4 linked regions of the Saccharomyces cerevisiae S288C genome follow. The gene in region 2 interacts genetically with the main gene of each other region. Each region holds a gene or a part of one and is shown on either strand. Other genes may lie near its edges.

Evidence for each region.
Region 1: mutations in OAF1 (region 2) and MGA2 together harm fitness more than expected from each alone (negative genetic interaction), as found in Saccharomyces cerevisiae (3 studies listed by BioGRID).
Region 3: mutations in OAF1 (region 2) and PDX1 impair growth when combined (synthetic growth defect), as found in Saccharomyces cerevisiae (one study listed by BioGRID).
Region 4: mutations in OAF1 (region 2) and LPD1 impair growth when combined (synthetic growth defect), as found in Saccharomyces cerevisiae (one study listed by BioGRID).

Annotation. Positions count from the first base shown.
Region 1 is NC_001141.2:414,410-420,023, forward strand, and holds MGA2 (Mga2p), read left to right. Parts: upstream 1-1,714; coding exon 1,715-5,056; downstream 5,057-5,614. Other genes in the region: malate synthase DAL7, read right to left, coding at 1-270; DAL3 (ureidoglycolate hydrolase), read right to left, coding at 621-1,208; LYS1 (saccharopine dehydrogenase (NAD+, L-lysine-forming)), read right to left, coding at 5,206-5,614.
Region 2 is NC_001133.9:47,045-52,261, reverse strand, and holds OAF1 (oleate-activated transcription factor OAF1), read right to left. Parts: upstream 3,699-5,217; coding exon 555-3,698; downstream 1-554. Other genes in the region: protein AIM2, read left to right, coding at 1-407; flavin adenine dinucleotide transporter FLC2, read right to left, coding at 4,012-5,217. UniProt on the Saccharomyces cerevisiae protein: The PIP2-OAF1 heterodimer acts as a transcriptional activator to induce the transcription of genes encoding proteins involved in fatty acid beta-oxidation, a response called oleic acid induction, when cells grow on fatty acids as sole carbon source.
Region 3 is NC_001139.9:883,951-887,741, reverse strand, and holds PDX1 (Pdx1p), read left to right. Parts: upstream 1-2,000; coding exon 2,001-3,233; downstream 3,234-3,791. Other genes in the region: XKS1 (xylulokinase), read left to right, coding at 1-1,669. UniProt on the Saccharomyces cerevisiae protein: Required for anchoring dihydrolipoamide dehydrogenase (E3) to the dihydrolipoamide transacetylase (E2) core of the pyruvate dehydrogenase complexes of eukaryotes. This specific binding is essential for a functional PDH complex.
Region 4 is NC_001138.5:101,119-104,821, forward strand, and holds LPD1 (dihydrolipoyl dehydrogenase), read right to left. Parts: upstream 2,010-3,703; coding exon 510-2,009; downstream 1-509. Other genes in the region: mRNA splicing protein SMX2, read left to right, coding at 2,581-2,814; GNA1 (glucosamine 6-phosphate N-acetyltransferase), read right to left, coding at 2,865-3,344; MDJ1 (Mdj1p), read right to left, coding at 3,583-3,703.

The sequences.
Region 1 (5,614 bases), on a different chromosome or scaffold from region 2:
AGCACCTTGCCATGTAGGATCGTTCCTGATTTGTTCGGTTTCCGGCAAGAAATCAAATCGGTATTCACCAGAGTCTAACTTTGATTGTAAATTGCTTCTGTTGGCTAAAAGCTGTTTCCGTGTTGAATTGAAAGTTCTATGCAGCAAAACAATGAACTCTAAGGCATCTTTTGTTAAAATATCAGCTACAGTAGTTTTGGAAGGTTCAAATTGAGGAGTCGTGTCGATGTCTGCGTATAGAGCAGTGTTGTCCAAGCTTATCTTCACCATTGTTCAGTGCTCTTTACCGTGCCTATGACACATACTCTAAGTGATATCAACTGCACAGAAAGTGAAGAATTAAGACTACATGCGTAAATGTCCCCATTTTATACTTATTGCTTCACCAATTGACGAAACTATCCAATCTTTGTGATACTTTCACGATGTACCTTATCCAAGATAAGCCAAAACTTATGAAATTCAATTTATGTGATAAGAAAAGCAAACGCAATTTTCCAAAATCCGCGGTATTCTATCGCACCGCAACTTTCAGCGGAGATTTTATGTCGATAATCGTAAACCTATGAAATTACTAATACATGAACATTTACATATTTACTTCGCCCACAGTCGCAGAATTAGATGATAATACAAACGTCGCCATCGCTGTAGTGTTCTTCCACACAGTCCTTCTCGGGCCTGTCAGGGTCCAGACTTTCGTAGATTAAGACTGAAAAATCCAAATGTTCTTCCTTGCCAAGTACTATCATGGGCGCATGCCAGGTACCTAAGCCATAGGTAACGGCCTGATTACCCAAACATGTAAAAGCCCTCAACGTAGACAAGTCTGGCTTATTTCCAATTTCTTTAGCGACTACTACCAAGTATGCTACTTCCGCTGACGTTCTCCCCATAGGCACAAACGTCTGCGTACTACACGGATGCTTTTCGAGGACTTTGATAGAATGAGAAATCGCCTGATTGGAGCCTTGAGTGAATACTCTATTCAGGTGCGGCTGTGGAAAGCAACGGAATAGGTTCCAATTGGGAACTTTACTGGTAGATTTATTCTCTACCTGGCTTACTTGAAGCAATTTGATCGCTGTTCCCTGGTTTGCACCTTTTTCAAGGTTTTGCATCCTTGAAATCTCTTCATCTGGCGAAATTATCGTCCCATACTCCTCGAAGGACTCTTTCGTCAATGTCTCCGCCACCACGGTCACCATATCTTTGCTTCAAAGATTTTTTGCCCTACAAGATAAGCATCAAGAGCGATTGGATGACAGTTACTGACTTATATATGCGAATGCACATGAATAGACCGCATATGCTTCTTATCAGTCTTACCTCGCTTATCTTTCCCCATTTATTTGCCAATCCATCTTATCTTATCTGGCACTTTGTCTCAGGGTTAGTGTTACAAAAAGGCTAGGACTTATTTCCAAAATTCTACTTTTGAAAATAACCCTAACAATAAAAGCAAGGGCATTCTGATGTTACCCTAGAAATGTCGTATTTCTTTTTATATCGTGGATCATGACAAAAAACTCAACATTTTCAAATGGGTGAGCTCTAAACCAGAAAATACAGCCGCCGAAAGCCTTTTAAAAGGACAGCGGCGCTTGATCAACAGTCGTTCTTGGGGTCGTTAAGACTAGATCCTGCTTCCCCCCCTTATTGTGCATTTAAAGGCACTTATTGAAGGTCATTTTGGCGAACAGAACATTTCGTTATGCAGCAGAACAGTGAGTTCTTAACGGAAACACCTGGAAGCGACCCTCATATATCTCAATTGCACGCGAATAGCGTAATGGAATCACAGCTCTTGGACGATTTCCTCCTGAACGGGTCTCCCATGTACCAGGATGATAGCATGGCGCATATTAATATTGATGAGGGTGCTAATTTCCAAAATTTTATCAAGACAGATGAGGGTGATTCGCCCAACCTGTTGTCTTTCGAAGGTATCGGTAACAATACTCATGTCAACCAAAACGTGTCCACTCCACTGGAGGAGGAAATGGAAAGTAACAGAGCCTTGAAGGAGGAAGAAGAGGACGAGCATGAAAATAAGGTTTTTAATGAAAAAAATATAGGCAACCCTGCTCATGACGAGATTGTATTTGGAAGAAAGGAGACGATTCAATCTGTTTACATAAATCCTTTAGATTACCTTAAAGTGAACGCAGCGCAGCTACCTTTGGATGTAGAGGTCTCAGGTTTGCCACAAGTATCTAGAGTGGAAAATCAACTGAAACTGAAAGTGAAAATTACGTCTGAAACACCACTAAACCAAAGCATGCTTTACTTGCCTAGCGATTCCATTTCAAGAGAAAAGTTTTATTTAAAAAAAAATATCGAGGATTTTTCAGAAGACTTCAAGAAAAATCTTCTGTACATCAATGCGTTTGTTCTATGTGCGGTCAGCAACAGAACGACAAATGTTTGTACCAAGTGTGTTAAGCGAGAACAAAGAAGAGCCGCTAGAAGGAAATCAGGTATTGCAGACAATTTACTCTGGTGTAATAATATTAATAGAAGGTTAGTCGTGTTCAATAACAAACAGGTTTTCCCCATAATGAAAACTTTCGATAATGTTAAGGAGTTTGAATTAACTACCAGGCTAGTTTGTTATTGCAGGCACCATAAGGCAAATAATGGCTTTGTCATATTATTCACTATAACAGATTGGCAAAATAGACTGTTGGGTAAGTTTACGACAACACCTATTATGATCACGGATAGAAAACCAGCAAATATGGATACCACCAAGTTTAATAACACTACTACCTCGTCCAGAAGGCAGCTAACGGAAGAAGAATCTACCACAGAATATTATTCAACGGATAACAACCAATTGAGCAAAGACGAAAATATGCCATTTCAATATACTTATCAACACAACCCATATGATAATGACAGTCAAATGAATAATATTCCACTGAAAGACAAAAACGTACCATTCCCATATTCCATCTCTCAACAGACAGATTTGCTTCAGAACAATAACTTATCACTGAACCTTTCTCTGCCCAATCAGCATATTCCATCACCAACATCTATGAGCGAAGAAGGCTCAGAATCATTTAACTATCATCATCGCGATAATGACAATCCCGTCCGTACTATCTCTTTGACAAATATTGAACAACAGAGTCAATTGAACCAACGGAAAAGAGCACGCAATAATTTGGAAAATGACATTGGTAAACCCCTATTCAAGCATTCCTTTTCAAATTCAATCAGTGCAACAAATACGATGAATCCAGCTTTACATTCAATGCAAGATTTCTCAATGAAAAACAACAACAATAATTTGCCATCAATTAATCGCGTTATACCTTCACAAGGCCCAATCAATGGTGGTATCGAAGTTACATTACTGGGTTGTAACTTCAAAGATGGTCTTTCTGTAAAGTTCGGCTCTAATCTTGCCCTTTCTACGCAATGCTGGAGTGAGACCACGATCGTCACTTATCTCCCTCCCGCTGCCTACGCGGGTCAAGTTTTCGTCTCTATTACTGATACGAATAATGAAAATAATAACGATGACCTTCCCCAAGAAATTGAGATCAATGACAATAAAAAGGCCATATTTACCTATGTTGATGATACTGATAGGCAACTGATTGAATTGGCTTTGCAAATTGTGGGATTAAAAATGAATGGTAAGTTAGAAGATGCAAGAAATATCGCGAAGAGGATTGTTGGCAATGATTCTCCTGATAGCGGTACAAATGGCAACAGCTGTTCAAAAAGCACAGGTCCCTCTCCAAACCAACACAGTATGAATCTGAACACAAGTGTTCTTTACTCCGATGAAGTCTTGATACAAAAAGTTATAAAATCATTGAACATAAATTCCAATATTTCCATATGTGATTCATTAGGGAGAACTTTATTACATCTTGCCTGTTTGAAAAATTACTCAAGCCTTGTGTATACATTGATTAAAAAGGGTGCTCGTGTTAACGATATTGATTCCTTTGGGCTAACTCCATTACATTTTGCTTGCATAAGTGGTGACCCTAAAATTATTAAGATGCTTTTAAATTGTAAAGTAAATTATTCACTGAGGTCACACAACGGATTAACTGCAAGAGAAGTATTCATAGCAAACCACATTCATTCAAAGGAAATAGACAAAAAACAAGATAACAGAGACAACCATAAGTTTGTTCATAATGACACTTATATCAGCGAAGTATTGTCATTGTTTGAAGAATTCCAAAACGGTACGAAGTTTACCGATAGTGTAGAAACAGACAGTAATTATTCTATTAGCAGGAAATATTCACAATCCAGTTTCAATTCAAGCCTGCTAGACAATGAATCTTTGAATGAGAACTTATTCGAAAGCCAAAGCATGATAAATCCCACTTCTATGGAGATTCAGCATCCAACCTTGCAACTATTTGAGAATTCAAGTTACTCTGAGTACGACCAAAGTGATTTCGAAGAAGACGGGGATGAAGATCTGTTCGTCACTGACGAAGTAGAAAAACCAGGTGTTGCATGCAGGGAGGAACAAAGCGAACTCCTTGATATTGGATCTAGCGCCAACGAACCCGAAGAGGATAATGGTAGTACATCTCTCTGGAATAGAGTTTTACATCGAATTAATGATGACTTACCAAAATATGAGGATCTGTTCCCGTTGTCTTGGGGTAAAGATGATAAATTGAAAACCACAAATCAAGACAGTATTGTGGAGCAGTCAGCATCTAATATTGAAAACTCTGAAAATTCGGAGGAAGAGGATTATGAGGAAGAGGAAGAATTTTTGAAAAAACAGTTTAACAGATTCTTCCAAAACAAACAAAACTTCCGAAATGATAAAATGTTAATATTTTTCTGGATACCCTTAACACTACTACTTTTGACATGGTTCATCATGTACAAATTTGGCAACCAAGATAGTTCCATCAATCATATAAGCGAATTAATCTCAGAGTACTTGAGAATTGCATTAGCAAAGTTCTTGCTGGGAAATGAAAGGATGAAAACTGCATTCAGGTCAAAATTATCAAACCTGCAAACAACAAGAATGTTGAACGATTTAATTGTCAGTTAGTCTGCTTTTTTACGTATATATATATATATATGTGTGTATAATGAAAAGACAGTACACTTAAAAGAAGAGAAAGTCATTTAAAAAAAGTCAAAAAAAAATTAAACTTGTAAATGTCAGCGTAACGATAATGTATATACTTTAAATGTAAACTACAATCTTGAAGATCTTTTAACACGAGCGCAATGTCTATCGAACAATTTCTTGGCTCTAACCCAGACAGGAGCAGTTTTTCTTTGAGGTAGGAGCTCTAAAGATGGTAAGAGATCATGAGAGAAAAATTCTGAAGCTTCTCTTGGCAGCAAAGAAGGCAAGTGATCAATAGAGATGACAGATAATTTAGGCCCGGCAGTGGTAGGTACCAGAACGGTAGGTTTGTTAAACACAGTAGCCACAGTGTATATTGGGATGGGGTTGTGAGGGTTGGTAGTGTCTGCTGATACGTCCACCACGGTCCTTAGTCTTCTGTTAGGATTATTCAGTTTCTCCATGTTAGTGAAAGGAGCAATTGGCTTCGATAGATATATACAATTGATAAAAATATCAGCTTGTGGAATTTCG
Region 2 (5,217 bases):
TGAAGTTGTTAAAACTTGAATATGACCCAAAGTTTATTGGCGTTGTGGGTTACTGTTTTGGTGCAAAGTTTGCCGTCCAACACATTAGTGGCGACGGGGGTCTTGCCAATGCTGCAGCCATTGCACATCCATCTTTCGTCAGCATCGAGGAAATTGAAGCAATTGATAGCAAGAAACCAATATTGATTTCAGCAGCGGAAGAGGATCACATCTTTCCGGCAAACTTAAGACACTTAACGGAGGAAAAATTAAAGGATAATCACGCTACTTACCAGTTAGACCTCTTCAGTGGTGTGGCTCACGGGTTTGCAGCAAGAGGCGATATATCCATACCTGCCGTAAAATATGCGAAGGAGAAAGTCTTGCTCGACCAAATATACTGGTTCAATCATTTTTCGAATGTTTAAGAGGGAAGAGCTCTTCTTACGTTAACCGTTATATACATATATATATATATTGAGCACTTTATATTATCGGTCAGTTTCATAAATTCGTGGCTATATAATATTAATTAATTGATGAAATGAATAGGTAGGAGTTTGGAAAGAAAATTTTTAAGCAAAGTCATTGCCAAACAAAAAGTCATAATCAAATAAATCCAAACCTCCAAAATAACCTGGAAAAGGAGTATTATTCGCTTGGCCTCTATCGAAACCATTAGGAAGTTGTGATCCAGATGAGTTATCGACAATTGGTGTAGCATTGATTGAATTGTTCAAGTTATTCATCCCGGCTATTGGCGTTTGCTCTTTTGAACCACCACCCGCCAAAGGACCCTGACGTAAACCACTGTTGTAGTCCAAGCTCTGACCAACTGCAGCGGCCGATGATAGTTTTTCTAAATTATCTAAGGATGAACTCCATGTCTTTGTGAAGGTAGGAACAGCATTTCCGAATGGTTCGCCGTTGGTTAAGTCAATTGTGTTTACAGGCGGCTTCAATCCTGAAGAAATTTGAATCTCTTTTTTGATATTACGGTTCAGCTCATCTATATCTTCAACGCTAAAATTCGCAACGTGATTGCATGCCATCAATTCCTCTAATAGCCTATCCTTTTTGTCCAGTTTGACTCCTAAGGTAATGCTTAATGTCTTGATTATCCTAGAATGCATTTGTTCCATTTGAATCATCGTAAATATGCCGTGCCATAATTCACCCTTTCTCATCCTTTGTACAATGACATCGAATAAAGCCAACATCTTAAAAACGGGGAAGTATGTGAATCTTAAATGTTCCGAAGCAGAGCAATATATACCTTCTAAAGCAGACTCGAGATCTCTTTGCAGGGTACTAAATTTTTCGACTTTGGTATTTAACTCCTTTATTCTTGGATCTGTCGTTCCCGATAACTTTTGTACTTCAGAAGATAACATATGGATGGCTAAACCTATTCTTAGTATAATCCCTAATAGGCTGAAGATTGTGCTGGATAGTGCTAACTGAATAAATTTTGTAACATTAAAACTGGTTAAAGAAGATATTGCGTGTCGATATTCTCCGTTGAAAAACTTATTGAAATAATTTATTAGTGACAACGCATCCATACAGCTAACCATAAAGTATTTCTTGTAGAATGGGAAGATACTTTTATCCTTAGTGATAAGTGTTTCAAAATGCAAGAATACGGCCATTGAAGTTCTCAACATCAATAGTTTATTCATTATTCGATTGTGAAATGAAGAAGAATTTTCTGAAGATAATATATTCATTTCTGAAATCACATTCATGTCATCAAGGTCTGACTTATCCTGTGCGACACTTTTTAATGGTACTATGGGAAAGTTTTCCTCCACAAAAATCTCAATCTTTTCTCTTATGAATTCAATTGAATGCAAATGGAAACTACCATAGTATGTCATCGTCAAGTTATCTAAGTCCGACAGGAGTAACGCAAGCTGGGCTCTCTTGAATGTAAATTTATGAATTCTCAAAAGTTTGTGATTATTGATATCGCTTAGATCGCCCCTAACTCGGTTCATATATACCGTCAGAGAATCAGGATCCTTAATATTTAGGAATAAGGCCATTAAAGATATCGGTGAGACAGAATGTCTACCTTTGAGACTTGCTTCAAACGAACAAACGGTAACGATACTCAACCAGAGTATTCTTCTGTGATTCAAGGTTCTTTTATCTGAGGTGGACGGGGAAATCAATTGAGGGAAATCTGAAGGATCTCTGTGGAGACCAATCGAGGTGGAAAGCATCATTATCAAACTACTGATAACATCGGTGGGGTGCTCGAGAAAGAAATCACCCTCTTCAGGAGAAAAAGCAAAAAAAGACCAGATATATAGTAAACATGATATGATGTTTTCATTAGCGCATGCACACCAATTTTCCGATGCTAGACATCTTTGACTCAATAAAATAAAATCGTTCGGTATTGGGTATTTATCAATTATTTCCTTTGAAAGATAAAAACTCGAGTCTGCTGTACTATGATCTAAAAACCTTATTGACATGTATGAGAGTTTCAAGATAACCAATAGAAGACTCAAGTTTTCCACCTTAGCTCTCAAATGTGTGCTACCCATACGTATTTGCACCTTGGAGGGGTTGTTTGGGTCCGGAAAAATTGTTTGACTTAATGATTCTTCAAAAATTTCTAATTCGATGAAAGGTAGACTTGGATAAACGTACTCATAAAAGTGGTTCTTGTAGCGTTCAATAATTTCGTAAGATGGCAAAATAGCTTCACATTCATTGATCAAATTTCTCAATAAATCCGAATATTCGCCACCTTGAGGGCAATGATCCTCCAGATATTGGTAACCGACAGAATTGTAAAGCATTGATAATAGCATACCGATTTTCAAGTTTCTATTTGAATTTGTATTTTGTAGTATTCTATCAGTGAATTCGTTTACACGATTTTTTTCATCTTCGGTTTGACACTGTCTGATTAGCATTTCCTTCAATTTCAAAAGGTTATTTGCTACGCTAGGCTGGGCTCTTGTAATATTCGCGTTTGCCGTCAATGCCGGTATCATCGTGTTCTTTGAAGTGTCAAGGAACACTGAAGTGACCAGGATTTTTAGAAAACAGTCCTGAATTATAATATAATTTTCAGATAACGGCTTAACTTCTCTTTTCATGACTTTACTCATGATCATGGTTGGATGACTTCTATACAAGTTGATTTCAATATCATTTCTGGTACCATTGTTTATATCCCCGTTACCACTTTGTTCATATATAGGTTCCATTTTATGCTGCTTCTTGGTATCAGGACTGTCCCCGCTAGCATTGTTTGTATTGATCGGACTTGCTGATCTCTTGCCTGATTCATTCACCTCTCTCTCTGTTAGTAGCTTCATAGCTTTATCTTTCCAATAAAACATATCTTTTTCCAACCTTGATATAATGGCGTCTTTACTCGGAATTCGTGGTGCTGGCTGTTTTGATACGTCATAAACACATTTTAACCCATGCTTGACGCATCGACCACATTCAGGTTTTTCTCTATCACACTTTGTTTTTGACTTCCTACAAGCCTGGCAGACAAACAATATTCTATTTCTTTTCCTATTATGTGTTTCGGAGTTCTCGGGGGCAGGCGATGTGCTTGAGTGCTCAGCTTCTAATCCAGGCGTTGGGTTATTGAACCCTAAGAAAAACGCCTCCGAATATGGCTTGGTAGAGCTATTATCATCATTTCCGGCATGTGGGGCCTTCTGCGTACTATTTTCGACCATGACTTACGCAACCTAATCTATTATTAACCTGCTTCTAACACAAAATAGCCAACAGTAAATCCCTTCTGGAGGATCTGTTTCCTTCTCTACACGTCAAAAAAGATGTCAGAAAAAAGCGGCAATTGCGTACATTTAAGGAAGCAGAGCCAAAGCGAATTTCACATTTAAGGTTTTTATCGCTGAAATATGTGTGGTGTTGGGATGTAATGGAGATAATACACCTTTTTGAGCGGTTTTCTATGAAATATAATGTAGGATATCCTTGCCCTTAAATATTTATATAATAAGTTGTTACATGTGAGTATATATTGGATTACAAATATGGGTTGTTGTTGCGGGCGTTTTCGTTGCTGCCGTTGTTGTTAAAATGCGAATATGATTTATTGGAATTCCCCAGGTAGAGACTTGATTCAGGCTTCATTAAACTGGAGGTGCTTGTATTATTCGGCGCTAGATTAGTACGAGAAGCAGATGACGCACGTTGGTACTGTGGAGACAAGAAGCTGCCACCCGTACCCATGACAGCGGAGGTTGGTTGCACAGGTTGCTCCGTTACTTCCGAGGCATCGAAGGGAGAGGAATTTTGCTTAAAAGAGGATGAACTAGTCTCATCATCAAAGAGTCTTGCTGTATTTGTGTTTGCATTCAGGTTCTTGCCGAAAGTGTCGTCACGGAACATTTTTTCTTCCTCATTTTCATTGGTGTCCATAACAGCTTTTCTCAATTCAAACAGTTCAGAATCATTTTTGTTTTTGCCATCGAAATCATTTTGAATCTTAGGAATGAATGACACACGGTCATCTTTCATTGGTTGGTAACGGACATCTGGGTTTCTGTGTAGTAATGCCAGTGTACAGGTGACAATAGTGAACAATAATAGGAATAGAGCAAACACCGCGTTCAAAACGAACAGAATAACCGCCATCACTGACGAAACCACTGCTGGTTGCTTGAACAAATTACTGAAAAACAAAAAGAAAAATGCATTGATCAAATTCACCAAATGAATAGCAATATTGAAAACATTAGTTCTCTTGTCCAAATATGGTCTTATCCAACAGAGACAAACGAAGTAAGCTAGTTCAATGACAAAGATGATCATTGCTTGAGCCTTACCTTGGTTTTGTAAAACGGCAACAAACAGGGATCTTAAGAACGCATAACTTAATAAGGGTAAAAGCCACCAAAACTTATCTGCTTTGAATTGAACGTATAAGAACCCAAACTTGTTCAAGAAGTAGGTATCACTGTAAAGTAGGTACGCAGGATTCTTGTATAATCTGAGAGACTCTCTTCCCTTGATGAAAACCCTTATAGTTCCATAAACCAGAAGTCCCGTGATGATCAGTAATATTACTACCGCATCAACAACAATCGCTGGAGAGTTGACCTGAGTAAATTCCCAAATCGCCAGAAGAGAAACTTGAGGGAAGGCGATGATAGATAATCTGAAAAGGGTGCCTTTGATAATACTCCCCCAGTTCTTCCTATATTGGAAGAAATTGGAAGTCTCTTTCAA
Region 3 (3,791 bases), on a different chromosome or scaffold from region 2:
CCATTCAGAAACAGTGGAATTTGAAAAGGATCTTCCGCATTATCACACAAAGAAGGGTGTCTATATACACGGCGACACTATCGAATGTCCCGTAGCCATGTGGTTAGAGGCTCTAGATCTGGTTCTCTCGAAATATCGCGAGGCTAAATTTCCATTGAACAAAGTTATGGCCGTCTCAGGGTCCTGCCAGCAGCACGGGTCTGTCTACTGGTCCTCCCAAGCCGAATCTCTGTTAGAGCAATTGAATAAGAAACCGGAAAAAGATTTATTGCACTACGTGAGCTCTGTAGCATTTGCAAGGCAAACCGCCCCCAATTGGCAAGACCACAGTACTGCAAAGCAATGTCAAGAGTTTGAAGAGTGCATAGGTGGGCCTGAAAAAATGGCTCAATTAACAGGGTCCAGAGCCCATTTTAGATTTACTGGTCCTCAAATTCTGAAAATTGCACAATTAGAACCAGAAGCTTACGAAAAAACAAAGACCATTTCTTTAGTGTCTAATTTTTTGACTTCTATCTTAGTGGGCCATCTTGTTGAATTAGAGGAGGCAGATGCCTGTGGTATGAACCTTTATGATATACGTGAAAGAAAATTCAGTGATGAGCTACTACATCTAATTGATAGTTCTTCTAAGGATAAAACTATCAGACAAAAATTAATGAGAGCACCCATGAAAAATTTGATAGCGGGTACCATCTGTAAATATTTTATTGAGAAGTACGGTTTCAATACAAACTGCAAGGTCTCTCCCATGACTGGGGATAATTTAGCCACTATATGTTCTTTACCCCTGCGGAAGAATGACGTTCTCGTTTCCCTAGGAACAAGTACTACAGTTCTTCTGGTCACCGATAAGTATCACCCCTCTCCGAACTATCATCTTTTCATTCATCCAACTCTGCCAAACCATTATATGGGTATGATTTGTTATTGTAATGGTTCTTTGGCAAGGGAGAGGATAAGAGACGAGTTAAACAAAGAACGGGAAAATAATTATGAGAAGACTAACGATTGGACTCTTTTTAATCAAGCTGTGCTAGATGACTCAGAAAGTAGTGAAAATGAATTAGGTGTATATTTTCCTCTGGGGGAGATCGTTCCTAGCGTAAAAGCCATAAACAAAAGGGTTATCTTCAATCCAAAAACGGGTATGATTGAAAGAGAGGTGGCCAAGTTCAAAGACAAGAGGCACGATGCCAAAAATATTGTAGAATCACAGGCTTTAAGTTGCAGGGTAAGAATATCTCCCCTGCTTTCGGATTCAAACGCAAGCTCACAACAGAGACTGAACGAAGATACAATCGTGAAGTTTGATTACGATGAATCTCCGCTGCGGGACTACCTAAATAAAAGGCCAGAAAGGACTTTTTTTGTAGGTGGGGCTTCTAAAAACGATGCTATTGTGAAGAAGTTTGCTCAAGTCATTGGTGCTACAAAGGGTAATTTTAGGCTAGAAACACCAAACTCATGTGCCCTTGGTGGTTGTTATAAGGCCATGTGGTCATTGTTATATGACTCTAATAAAATTGCAGTTCCTTTTGATAAATTTCTGAATGACAATTTTCCATGGCATGTAATGGAAAGCATATCCGATGTGGATAATGAAAATTGGGATCGCTATAATTCCAAGATTGTCCCCTTAAGCGAACTGGAAAAGACTCTCATCTAAAATATGTTTGAATAATTTATCATGCCCTGACAAGTACACACAAACACAGACACATAATATACATACATATATATATATCACCGTTATTATGCGTGCACATGACAATGCCCTTGTATGTTTCGTATACTGTAGCAAGTAGTCATCATTTTGTTCCCCGTTCGGAAAATGACAAAAAGTAAAATCAATAAATGAAGAGTAAAAAACAATTTATGAAAGGGTGAGCGACCAGCAACGAGAGAGACAAATCAAATTAGCGCTTTCCAGTGAGAATATAAGAGAGCATTGAAAGAGCTAGGTTATTGTTAAATCATCTCGAGGGAAAAATTCAAAAATGCTAAGTGCAATTTCCAAAGTCTCCACTTTAAAATCATGTACAAGATATTTAACCAAATGCAACTATCATGCATCAGCTAAATTACTTGCTGTAAAGACATTTTCAATGCCTGCAATGTCTCCTACTATGGAGAAAGGGGGGATTGTGTCTTGGAAATATAAAGTTGGCGAACCATTCAGCGCGGGCGATGTGATATTAGAAGTGGAAACAGATAAATCTCAAATTGATGTGGAAGCACTGGACGATGGTAAACTAGCTAAGATCCTGAAAGATGAAGGCTCTAAAGATGTTGATGTTGGTGAACCTATTGCTTATATTGCTGATGTTGATGATGATTTAGCTACTATAAAGTTACCCCAAGAGGCCAACACCGCAAATGCGAAATCTATTGAAATTAAGAAGCCATCCGCAGATAGTACTGAAGCAACACAACAACATTTAAAAAAAGCCACAGTTACACCAATAAAAACCGTTGACGGCAGCCAAGCCAATCTTGAACAGACGCTATTACCATCCGTGTCATTACTACTGGCTGAGAACAATATATCCAAACAAAAGGCTTTGAAGGAAATTGCGCCATCTGGTTCCAACGGTAGACTATTAAAGGGTGATGTGCTAGCATACCTAGGGAAAATACCACAAGATTCGGTTAACAAGGTAACAGAATTTATCAAGAAGAACGAACGTCTCGATTTATCGAACATTAAACCTATACAGCTCAAACCAAAAATAGCCGAGCAAGCTCAAACAAAAGCTGCCGACAAGCCAAAGATTACTCCTGTAGAATTTGAAGAGCAATTAGTGTTCCATGCTCCCGCCTCTATTCCGTTTGACAAACTGAGTGAATCATTGAACTCTTTCATGAAAGAAGCTTACCAGTTCTCACACGGAACACCACTAATGGACACAAATTCGAAATACTTTGACCCTATTTTCGAGGACCTTGTCACCTTGAGCCCAAGAGAGCCAAGATTTAAATTTTCCTATGACTTGATGCAAATTCCCAAAGCTAATAACATGCAAGACACGTACGGTCAAGAAGACATATTTGACCTCTTAACAGGTTCAGACGCGACTGCCTCATCAGTAAGACCCGTTGAAAAGAACTTACCTGAAAAAAACGAATATATACTAGCGTTGAATGTTAGCGTCAACAACAAGAAGTTTAATGACGCGGAGGCCAAGGCAAAAAGATTCCTTGATTACGTAAGGGAGTTAGAATCATTTTGAATAAAAAACACGCTTTTTCAGTTCGAGTTTATCATTATCAATACTGCCATTTCAAAGAATACGTAAATAATTAATAGTAGTGATTTTCCTAACTTTATTTAGTCAAAAAATTAGCCTTTTAATTCTGCTGTAACCCGTACATGCCCAAAATAGGGGGCGGGTTACACAGAATATATAACATCGTAGGTGTCTGGGTGAACAGTTTATTCCTGGCATCCACTAAATATAATGGAGCCCGCTTTTTAAGCTGGCATCCAGAAAAAAAAAGAATCCCAGCACCAAAATATTGTTTTCTTCACCAACCATCAGTTCATAGGTCCATTCTCTTAGCGCAACTACAGAGAACAGGGGCACAAACAGGCAAAAAACGGGCACAACCTCAATGGAGTGATGCAACCTGCCTGGAGTAAATGATGACACAAGGCAATTGACCCACGCATGTATCTATCTCATTTTCTTACACCTTCTATTACCTTCTGCTCTCTCTGATTTGGAAAAAGCTGAAAAAAAAGGTTGAAACCAGTTCCCTGAAATTATTCCCCTACTTGACTAATAAGT
Region 4 (3,703 bases), on a different chromosome or scaffold from region 2:
AAACGTAGTGGTCATCCATATGAATATATGAGCAAGAAATAAACGTGAACATGTAAAATAGTAATACAGACACCATAATGTACAGGTTAATCCTGATATGTTTCTCGAATGAAATCGGGAAGACTAATAGGAGGCTCAATTCTATATTCACTCACGTTATGCGCCTGAATTTGAATGGATATTGTTGATAGAAGATTCCCTTTAATCACTCTCCTATATAAATATTTCTGTTTTTCTTATTAACGCAACAATAATTCGGGCGTGTGGTCTAGTGGTATGATTCTCGCTTTGGGCGACTTCCTGAATAAACAGGAAGACAAAGCATGCGAGAGGCCCTGGGTTCAATTCCCAGCTCGCCCCCTTTTTTTTGCATATCTGGTCATAATATCTTATCTGATCGACTAGTAGTTTCCTCATATATTAATTCCTTGTGCAATTTTTTTTTACTTACTCAATACTAAGCGGTTCTTCATAAATATATATACTATACTGTTTATTATTTCCTGTTTTCAACAATGAATAGCTTTATCATAGGCAGCCATGTTAGCTTCCTTAAATGCTTCGGACAAAGTAGGATGAGCATGGCAGACCCTAGCAACATCTTCTGCGGAAGCGCCATATTCTAAGGCTAAGCCAGCTTCAGCAATCATTTCACCGGCATTTGGACCGATAATGTGAGCCCCCAAAATACGCTCGGTCTTGGAATCGATCAAAATCTTCACGAAACCTTCAGTGTCTTGGTTGGTCTTGGCTCTTGAATTGGCCGCAAAGGGGAACTTACCAATTTTATAGTCAATGCCGGCTTCTTTCAATTGCTCTTCGGTTTTACCAACCCATGCTACTTCTGGGTGAGAATACATGACCGAAGGAATGTTGTTATAGTTGACATGACCGTGACCAGTTTTCAACATTTCGACAGCTGCAATACCTTCCTCTTCGGCTTTGTGAGCCAGCATTGGACCAAATGTAACATCTCCTACCACTTTAATGTGTGGGAACTTGGAATTAAATTGGTCATCAATGACTAGGCGTCCCCTTTTGTCTACTTCTAATCCAATCTTTTCAGCCCCTAAGCCAGCAATGTAAGGTCTTCTACCAACAGCAACCAGCAAAACTTCAGCTTCCAAATTTTCTTGCTTATTCGTTTTAGTATCTTCTACAACAATTTCGACGACGTTCTTGTCGTCGTTTCTCTTTGCAGAAATAACTTTGGTGCTTAATTTGAAGTCCAAACCTTGCTTTTTCAAGAACTTTTGGGTGGCTTTGGCAACCTCGCCGTCCATAGATGCACCAATTTGAGGTTGAAATTCTACTACAGTAACCTTGGAGCCTAATCTAGAGTAAACTGAACCCATTTCCAATCCGATGATTCCTCCACCAATGATGGTTAATCTTTTGGGAATTTCCTTTAACGAAAGAGCACCTGTTGAAGAGACAATTTTTTCCTCATCTATTTCAATACCGGGGAAGGGTGTAACTTCAGAGCCCGTGGCGACTATGATGTTCTTAACATCTAGTATGTGGTCTTCCTTGACAGTGCCTTCCAACCCATCAACGGGAGTTACTCTGATCTTCGTTTCGTCTTCGAATGAACCATTACCTTTATAATAGGTGACCTTATTTTTCTTGAACAGAAGCTCAATACCTCCAGTTAATTGCTTAACAGCGTCATCCTTAGCCTTTTGGAAGTTTGCTACGTTAATTTTGATATCACCGTTGACGTCAATACCTCTCTTTTGCGCTTCCGTATGCATTTGGTGGAATAAATGAGAATTATTTAGAAGTGCTTTGGAGGGGATACATCCAACGTTAAGACAGGTACCGCCTAATTTGCCTCTTTTTTCTACACATGCAGTGTTAAATCCCAATTGAGCAGCTTTGATAGCAGCCACGTAACCAGCAGGGCCACCACCGATGATGACTACATCATGTGACTTGTTAATGGTCAATGTCCTGACTGTGGACGAAAAGGCACGCTTATTATTTAGGAGTGATCTGATTCTTAACATTGTGAACTGTTAGTATGTTCTTTGATGGTACGACAGAGACAATCGAACAAAACCGTATATATATAAATATACGTTATATGTATATATATATCTATATATATTCGAGGTGAGTCAAAGGGTACGAATTATCATCAAATTGTTTATTAGCATTATAATACACTAAGTTTCCATTAAGTTGCTCCGCGGAGACTTCTCGCCAATGAGGGAACAGCCGTTCGAGATGATAAAGTATTCTAAAAACGAGTCATCATTAAAAACGATTCACGTGATATTCACGTGCATAAACCATTAGTAAGTATATATTTTTAGTGGGATATATGAGGGTACATTGCATCATGACTATTCGTGGTAGTCACGCATACGTTTGTCAGTGGCATTGTTCGAGTATTCCTCTGTTCTTCATTTCCCTTTTTTCCTATAGCCTCGCCTACGCTCTTTCACGTTTGTGCTGATAGAAACAATGTGGTAAGAAAAATTAAATCTCTAAAGGTGCAATGAATGTATAAGAAAGTACAACGCATATAGAGTATCCGGCATAGGACAGGATTACGCAAACACACGCACAGATACAATGGTTTCTACCCCTGAACTGAAGAAATATATGGACAAGAAGATATTGCTGAATATAAATGGATCTAGGAAAGTGGCAGGAATTTTGCGAGGCTACGATATTTTCTTAAACGTCGTTCTTGATGATGCAATGGAGATAAATGGTGAAGACCCTGCCAATAACCACCAGCTAGGCTTGCAGACCGTCATTAGGGGCAACTCCATAATATCCCTAGAGGCTCTAGATGCCATATAAAATTATATATATATATATATATGTCGACCTCTATGTACTATACAGCAATACTATTTTCTAATTTGCATTTCCACGCCTGCGTTGCTAAACCCACATTTTTCATAGAATTTGACATTTTTCTCATCGCAATCTAAAATAATCTTATAACAACCGTAGTCAAAGCCGATAGTTACCAATTGATCAATCAAGAGCTTGCCCAAACCTTGGCCCTGATACTTGGAGTTTACTGCAATGTCCTCGATGTGGCCACATAGCCCCAGTTCATGAATGATCTTTCTTTCGATGATGATATTCCCCGTAGCGGCAACCGTCTCGGTGCGCTTGTCCACAATCACCATGGGGTTATATTGCATTATTTTTTTATCTTCGTTATCATTCCATACTGTGGCTTCATTCCAGTATTTTATGAGTTTGCTGAAGGATTCGGGGGTAATAGTGCCCACGGTGGTCAAAACCTTTAGCGTCTCAGTGACCTGTTCCAAATCCCCCTCTTCCATTCGCCTTATATAAAATCCATCGGGTAAGCTCATTATTTTATGTTGATATCCAGCTTCCGTTCGTCAACTATTCTCTCGAGCTCAGTTTTGGGTTTTGGCATGTAAACAATGCCTTCGCTTGTATTACGCAAAAAAAAAAAAAATAAATAAAAAAAAAAAAAAAAAAATAAGGTATAAATCGTTGGTTCTTTTATGCACAATTATTTAACTATAGTTATCTATTTACGTAAAGGCTTCTATTTTTCCTTATCTACAAGAAATTGCATGAAGTTTAATTTTTTTTGTCACCTTTGATCTTCCTGAATGTGTTGGTAATGAAATTTTCTAGTCTCTTCAAAGTGTTGTCGTCATCCTTTTTTGCGTGTTTTTCCTCTTCTTGTTTTTGTTTCTTC